Xenopus tropicalis: one gene and its partner. The protein of the gene in region 2 interacts with the protein of the main gene of each other region in a pairwise test. Links are inferred from orthologs where the notes say so. Each region holds a gene or a part of one and is shown on either strand. Other genes may lie near its edges.

What was found.
Region 1: the proteins of gadd45g (region 2) and afap1l1 interact in binary tests that used the Homo sapiens proteins (3 or more experiments, as listed by UniProt). The two-hybrid records come from large-scale screens. The link is inferred for Xenopus tropicalis from reciprocal best matches to the Homo sapiens genes GADD45G and AFAP1L1.

The regions. Positions count from the first base shown.
Region 1 is NC_030679.2:40,548,097-40,552,676, forward strand, and holds the start of afap1l1 (actin filament-associated protein 1-like 1), read right to left. Parts: upstream 3,021-4,580; 5' UTR 2,492-3,020; coding exon 2,476-2,491; intron 1-2,475. UniProt on the Homo sapiens protein: May be involved in podosome and invadosome formation.
Region 2 is NC_030677.2:138,047,791-138,051,715, forward strand, and holds gadd45g (growth arrest and DNA damage-inducible protein GADD45 gamma), read left to right. Parts: upstream 1-1,392; 5' UTR 1,393-1,502; coding exon 1,503-1,555; intron 1,556-1,968; coding exon 1,969-2,070; intron 2,071-2,209; coding exon 2,210-2,423; intron 2,424-2,540; coding exon 2,541-2,651; 3' UTR 2,652-3,307; downstream 3,308-3,925. UniProt on the Homo sapiens protein: Involved in the regulation of growth and apoptosis. Mediates activation of stress-responsive MTK1/MEKK4 MAPKKK.

The DNA of each region.
Region 1 (4,580 bases), on a different chromosome or scaffold from region 2:
AAATTTCTTTTTGTGTCTTACCCTCTTGCTTGAGGGTGTCAATGATGGCCTTCTGGACAGCAGTCAGGTCGGCAGTCTTACCCATGATTGCGGTTTTGAGTAATGAACCAGGCTGGGAGTTTCTAAATACCTCAGGAATCTTTTGCAGGTTTTTAGAGTTAATTTGTTGATTCAGATGATTAGGTTAATAGCTCGTTTAGAGAACCTTTTCATGATATGCTAATTTTTTGAGATAGGAATTTTGGGTTTTCATGAGCTGTATGCCACAATCATCAATATTAAAACATGAAAAGGCTTGAACTACTTCAGTTGTGTGTAATGAATCTAAAATTTATGAAAGTCTAATGTTTATCAGTACATTACAGAAAATAATGAACTTTATCACAATATGCTAATTTTTTGAAAAGGACCTGTATATATAGAAACGCACACTGAAAACTTCCAGGGCGTAAAATAATCTATACACTCACAGTACTTTATCGACTGTTTACAGGAAGAAAATTATGGTATGTGTACAGTATTGTATGGAAGTGTCACTGAATGCCAATGTACAGCAGGCCCATTGATATGGCCACCTTGGCGTCACTAAGTATGTTTATAACATGTCTTAATATAAGAGTGGATTTAAACCAGAGTTTTGGTGCAGCCTTTCCGATGCAAGAGTGTTTATTCCTTGCACGAGTCTGAAAGCCATTCAGGGTTTGGTTCTGTTAGAAGAATACAAATAAACAAGGCTACTATTCAGGTTGTTTCTGTGTGAAAGATTATTGTTTTACATTCACATATTTTCACTAATTGAATGTAGCAGTTTCCCTTTGCACAGCTAAAGCTTATGAGCTGTCAGGGTAAGCTCCTGCTGTGCTTAACAATGGCTTAACAACAAGAGGTTGAAGATCAGGAATGTAGCAACAGAGGTCCCCTAGGTATCAGTTTGAGACTTGGGCGCACCCTCTGCCCCGGCTTCCTCCATATCCTGCGTAGAAGAGAAATGGCAACCAATAGGGTGCACACTGCAGAACTGTTTGTTTTTTGAGTTCTATGAGACGTATAAGGACTCAGGTCAAGGTTGGAATGAGCGGTCCTAGCTTAACAGGAAGACAAGACTTTGCTTAGACAAGAGAAAACTTATTTTGTCGTAAAGGAAGAATTCACGTTTTTTCATGACATCATTCTAGGAAAATCAGTGAAAGCTTCGATGTCAAGAACTTTGGTCACACAAGGTGCCAGTAGAAGCATATGGCTTGGGAGCAATACAAATCACTTCATTTGGCAGGATACTTAAAACCCCAAAACAGCAGCAGGCAGGTCCAATGTTAATGACATGTTCCGTATTAGTATTCTGACCCACTTTATTCTCAGCTGTAATTGAATGTAAAGGGCCCTGCTTTCTACTGTGTGTTACCACTATTACACCCATCTTTTACAACTGGGATGTGCAAGACATGCGTCCACATGCTTCTCCTGATTGGTCAGCAGTCATTCCTGCAAGCCCTGTCTGAGAATGGCAGTTTTTATGCACATATTCAGACCTCCCGAGTTGAAAAATTGCACTGTAGTTGAGAAAACCATCTTTAGCTTTGTTTATCAGAATGCCAGATATAAAAGTTAATTAGTAGGTACATATGAATATTTCTTTTGTTATCATACAACGTCTGTTTTTAGTATGGCACGTGGACTTGTAATGATGACATCTAGTTATTCTCATGTGAAGATATCCAGAAAACCTGCAGTGTGGTTGTTCCTTTAATGGCTGAATGAGCATCTATCAGTGGTTTAAACTATTAGTTATTTTAACACTAAGAATCTGCATCTTTTGGACCTCATAAAACTATAAATATACCCTGCATGCTGTGTACTGAGAACACATATCATGCCATGCTCTATTATCACTCCCCCTACTTTCTCAGTGCAACACAAGCTAGAGGGTGAAAGGATGGGCACCCCTGATTGTACAGGCTTAACGTAAGAATGTTTGTGGCTTTGGCAAACCTGTGCTAACAAAGGAAAAATGAGTGCTGAAAGGGGAGTCACTTTGCTAGTCTGGTCAAGGGCTAATTAAATGTGCTGCCCTGACTCACACAAACTAATAGCAGAGCAAGCAGGGAGTACAGCAAAAGCAATAGAAACCTATTTATTTCACTGGAAATCCCTAAGGACATAACAACTTACTGTAGCCATGCACACACACAATAGAACTGAAGGAATTAGGGGGCAATAATATTTAATTCTCTTTGTAAAGTGATACTTTACAATGGCAAGAAGCTGACTGGAAATGTCATGTTTATAGCCAGCAGTGTCATTTCTAGCATCACTAATTTCTTTCTTTCCATAAAACTGCTACATGCCCCCAAGCAGGTAACCAGCATGGCAAGAAGACAGAAAGCAACAAAATAATAACTGCCAATATGTGTTCTATATGTGTGTGTGCTAGCCCTAACAGGTACATCGCAAGAACATGCAGAGGATGAGACTTACCTTTGATTCGCTCCATGTCGCTGCTGAGTGTCGCTGCTCAGTGTGGCTGCTCAGTGTCGCTGCTCAGTGTTGCATGCCCAGAAGTTGCCTTGGCTCAAAAGCGCAGACCTGACCTGTCTCTGCACTGAGCCCTGTAGTGGCCTGTGGAGCTGCCCCGGTATCTTAGGAGCTGATTATCTGATCCTCCAGATCTTGCAAGGGAGCATTTCCCCTTTGCGCTAATAGCTTCCCTATGAGCTTGATCTGTGCAGTGTTATTAGGCAAAGGGCTGCTTGGATGTAAGCAGTAAGGATTAGCCGAGGTGCCTCTGATCTCAGCCCCCTGCCCCTCTCTCATCTCCCTTCCTAGATAAATCAAGGAGGCAAAAAGTCAACTGCAACTTCCACAGCTTTTCCTGTGCCTCCTCCTCTGCCCCCTTATCCAGAGGCCACAGGGTCTTAGTGCCTCCCCCTCCCCTCTGCACTCACTAGCCCACACATTGCTGACAAGCTTTTCCAGGGAGGGTCTGTTCTTGAGGAGTGTCCTGCCTCACCCTGTGCCAGAGGAAACGAGAAACGTTCCACTCCAGGGAAACCTCTCACATTATAATCTCCCTTTGGGATCTCACTGCTTTGCGCTTTCCAAAAATATGCGCCACAGGACAGGTGCGTAGGGCCGGCAGCTGCTGCCTAGTACTGACTGACTGCTGACATGTTAGCGGCGGGCACAATGCTGCACTGTTACACACGGCTCTCAGGCGGGGAAGGTACTAAAACTAAATGCAGCATTTGTTGCTAGATAGATATCCCTAGTTGCTAGATAGTGTCCCTTTCGTCTCCTATTATTAGTATTTCTATTTCAACAAAAGCCAACTACTTCCAGTTTCCCTGGTCTGGAGAGATTATGCTATGTATAAGGGCTCTGGCACACGGGGGAGATTAGTCGCCCGCGACAAAACTCCCTGTTCGCAGGGGACTAATCTCCCCGAGTTGCCTACCCCTGCCATCCCACCGGCGAACATGTAAGTCGCCGGCGGGATGGCAGACGCGGCGGCGCGATTTCGCGCAAATCGGCGAAAAAGACTCGCGAGTCTTTTTCGCCAATTTTCTGAAATCGCCCCGCCGCGTGTGCCATCCCGCCGGCGACTTACATGTTAGCCGGCGGGATGGCGGGTCATGGCAACTCGGGGAGATTAGTCGCCCGCGAACAGGGAGTTTTGTCGCGGGCGACTAATCTCCCCCGTGTGCCAGAACCCTAAAGGTGGCCATACATGTAAAGATCCGCTTGCCTGGCGAGGTCTCCCTGTGAATGGATCTTCTCCCAATATCCACATCTACTGTAATGGGTGCAGTCAGTTCGGGGACTGCATCAACGAGCCGTTGCGTGCCCGATCCGACTGAATCTTTTAACCTGCCTGATCGATATCTGGCTGATTTCAGGCCAGATATCGGTCGAGCAGGCCAGTCGTTGTTGCCCCTACACGGGCCGATAAGCTGCTGAATCGGACCAAGGGACTGATATTGGCAGCTACAATCGGCCCATGTATGGCCACCTTAAGACTAATGTCCCACAGGGAGATTTAGTCACTGTGATTTTTTCACAGAGTTTCAGCACAAGTCGCTTGTCTTTTCCTAATAAGTGGAGCGATTCTATATCCCGTAAATTCAAGGCTCATATACCCCGTCCACAATTAGAAATTCCATTCAGTGAAATGGGGAAATCGCAGCGACTTCCCGCTCCGTGGCTTTTACTTTCAGCGATTCCAATAGTTTTGAATGACAATGCTTTCTTTGTAAAATCGCTCGAAAAAGGGTCCCATAGCGATTCGGAATGATAAGCGATTTGAAGTAGTATCGTCGGTTTAGGTACTGCTGATTTATATTCTTCTCTATGTAGAGACAAAACAAGTGACTTGTCACTGGAACTCGCTTTTTACAAATCGCAGCGACTAAATCTCCTGGTGGGACATTAGACTAAAACGAAATTCGCTATAAAAGAAACGGCATAGAAAGAGCTGTAATATAAATGGTGAATTTATCAAGGTATAGTTTATTTGACACTGCTTCAGACCTGTTACTAAGTTACAGCAAAGCCTCTCTAAGAAAAAACACATAAAAAAATTACAG
Region 2 (3,925 bases):
GTCTGGAACTGCAGCTACAGCCGTGTGCATTCCACCCTGTCTAGTCCTGTCTGCTCCCATTCTCCATGTGTCTGAATGAGTTCAGTAACGATGTTGCAATGCAGCCCCCCGAGATTAATATGGTACTGTAAGGATACACACTGCCTGCCTGCCCCACTTGCACAGGGGGTTAGTGTGGAGCCAGGAAAGTGCAGTAAGGATCAGAGATAACAGTGGGGTATAGAAAGCAATAACCATTGCAGAGACCCCTATGAAGTTAAAGGGGACAGAAGACTAATTCACTAACAAGAAGCTGCGCATACTGCAAGCTGTGCACAGGGCTAAAGGCATTAGGCACCGTGCAGAAAGGGTTAAAGTAAGCCTTGCATCCCCCAAAAAGCAATCAGAGCCTGGAAGCGTGCTGGGGGGGTTGCTGCGATGTGGAACAGATTGTCAGATCCATTTGTGTCCCACTTTCCTCTACAGGACCCCACCCCAGCGGCAGGTGGACTCTGTCCCTAGTAAGGAGAAGAAGGGAGCGATTGTCTGATCTGCAAACTGCCACACGCCAGCCCCTCTCCCCATTGTGAGCCCCTCTATACAAATGCTAACGAGCAGCGTGTGCCATTCGCAATCTGCCGCAAACACAGCCCCCATTATCTGTATACAGGGCCTCGTCCTTCCCCCACGTTAGCAGGGTCATTAAAATCGCCTTTATTGCATTAATAGCAGCAGGCCAGATGTCTGCTTAAAGTAAGGGTTATCAGATCTTCCCTGCTAATGAGCATAATATCCCTGCCCAGCACACCTGTATGGAGCACCCTGCCACAGGGCCCACCTGTCCAGCACTGCCATGGTTAATGGAGCCCATGAGTTGTAGCCCTGTGCCCAGATGATGCTTGCTGCCCCTGCACACACAGCTCATGAGCAAGCCAATAAATAGTCAGTGTTCCCAGAACAGCAGAAACAAATCAATGTGTTGCCGTTGGTGCATTTGTGACACACAGTGCAAAGATCTGAAGTTTTAAGGATCTTTTTGATGTTCTCTCCCATTTCGTGCAAAGCCCAAATCATAAGACCCCCATTCTGCCTGGCAACAGCATGACAAAGGGCAGCAGGCAGACTTTGAGTCATTGTAAAAGAAAAAAAAAAACCCAGTGCGCCCACCGGCCGGCCATTCTACTGAGCCCCCCCCCTCCTTTCTACTGCCCCCCCCTCCTTTCTACTGCCCCCCTTCCCCTCGTCTCCTCCCCCACGTGGCCTTCTGGCACGCGTTCTGTTGCTCTATTAGCATTACAATGCCTCCCCCGCCCGGCCAATCAGAGCAAAGGAGTGAGACCAGACCCCGCCTACGCCTCTCAGCGCATAAATACCGGCTCAGTCGCTCCGTTTCCTCACACTTCGCTTGGGATTCTAACTGCTCTGAAGCTACTGTGGATATTATACTCTTCTTCTTCCGGACCCTTTGGTGGATATTTGAGAAGTCTCTCGCACTCACATTTTTGTGGCTTACCCGGAAAATCATGACTCTGGAAGAAGTTCACGGACAAGAAACCGTTGTTGAAAGCGCTGACAGGTAATTTCAGAATACCAATTCCGCCTTCTTTTATTCTAAGGGATCTACCGCCTGCCTATCCGGGATTCTGGGATTTGTAGTTCAACCCCAGCTCTGCAGGAGGGTCGTAGTAGAGTAAAGCGTTTGTAAGGGAGAAATGACCGCAGAAATAAGCGCTATGATCCAGGGGTGCAGAGATTTGGACTCACTGGTTGCATATAGCCAAAGTGCAATATTATTGATCATATTGGGAAGTAGCTGCAGCTCTATGTGCAGTTAGCAGATGGGGGAACATGAGTGGGTGGCATTAGCTAAAGCTCCTTTTATGGAGTGTGGGGATTTCTGCCATAGCATCCAGTCTTGCAGTTATATGGAAAGAAATATTCAGTTATGATCTGGCTCTAAATGCATTTCTTTTTATTTGTCTTGTGTAGGATGCAAACTGCTGGCAAAGCCCTGCATGAACTATTGGTCTCTGCCCAGAGAGAGGAGTGTCTGACCGTTGGAGTCTATGAGTCTGCCAAAGTAATGAATGTGTAAGTATCCCACTCCTTTGCACTGATCCCACACACACCCTTTACTCATGCATGCATGTAACACAGCCCACACACAGTCCCACTTGAGGCTTGCTGGCAGCAGAACTAATGTTCTCTTTTTTTTAATTTGATTTTACAGAGATCCAGATAGTGTCACTTTCTGCATCTTGGCTGCAGACGAGTACGACGAGGGTGATATAGCCCTTCAGATCCACTTCACTCTGATTCAAGCTTTCTGCTGTGAAAATGACATCAATATCGTGAGGCTGAATGACACAGAAAAAGTAGCTCAAATTCTAGGCTTAACAGATGAGTCTGCAGAGCCCAAGGACCTGCACTGCATCCTTATTACGGTAAGTGTCATGTTCCTGCTTATCGGCAATGTTTTGGCTTTGTGCCCATGGCTGTGACTTGTGCAATTTCTTGTAAGCACAGTGTTCTCATAGTCTCTGTTCCTCTTCTTTTCTCAGAATCCAAATGAGGATGCCTGGAAAGATCCAGCCCTGGAGAAACTGGGTATATTCTGTGATGAAAGCCGTAAAGTCTACGACTGGGTTCCCAGTATCACCCTGCCAGAGTGAACATCTTTTCTCTACATTAGATTGTAAAATCTCTGCATTATTATCATGGTGTTGTGCACCTGGATGGACCAGCAGCATTCCGAAGTCTGTGGATTACGCTGGTTGAGGTCAGATTAAGTCGCCAAGACTGGCAAAGATGTTGGCTCTTGTGGAGCAGAAGAGTAAGGAGGAAAACTTAACATGGACTGATCTGTAAAAGGAAGGGTTGGTGCCAGTTTGAAGCCTCCCAAAGCACTGGGGGGGGGGCAGTCATGCCATGGAGCTGGAGGAGTTTTGCATGTGCTAAAAGCAAAAATGGAAGCTTTTAAGATGGATATGAGGCAAATTAAGCAGCTGGTTAAAGGAAAGAACCTGTTCTGTATCTGCTTTTGGAGTTTGCTGAGATATGAAACATGAACTTTATATACACATTGGAAGAGTCTGGGACTATATAGCTCTGGATTGCAAACTGAGACTGAATTCTGTTCATTGCAGCTTGTTATTGGTTATTACAGTCTACTACTACAGTCTACTACCCAGAATACATAGTAAAAAAAAAAAAAGACTTTCTGTATTTTCAACATTTTGACACTGTTGCAAATTGAAGTGCTTTTCTTGATGAAACTTGGCATTTAAAATGTTGTTTTCTGTCATTCAATAAATCATTTTAAATCTCACTTTAATTTGTTTTGGTTTTTATGCTTATCTGGTAGGGTGTTTATACCTGCGGCCCAGCGCTTGAGCTACCTACATTTTCTAAATGAACAAAATAATAAGCATCCCCCAAAACAACCAAACAAAAAAAGCTATAGTCTTGTAATAGCTGTTGGTTCACAGTTTGGGCCCCTATTGTTTGGGCATGTGTAGAAATGCAGTCTGTTTTACCCCACTACATTGGCTATTCAGAAAGCTGCCAATGTGCTGTAGTCATCCCTTTTGTTAGCAGTGCACAATAAGATTTGCATAGAAGGGGGCTGTGTTGCTTGGTATAATCCATAGTCTGCAGCAGGCAGCTAATGCTTTCTATTGAGCCCTGACCATTTGACCTGCTGCTCCTTCAGCGACAGCTGCTTATCACAAGAGCGTGCAAGGTCTATGGGCTGCATGCCTAATGAGTGCATTAGAGTGACAGGGGGCTGCTGCATAGATAGATTTTTGTTACTGCACAGACAGAAAAGAGCAGCTGGCACTGTGTTTAAGCAAGGGATTCCCCATATCTCACCCCTCAGGTTTAAAATTCCCCTTCATCCAACGTGACATTTGCCAAAGTGCAAGTTGTTTCTGCTTCTGGGATT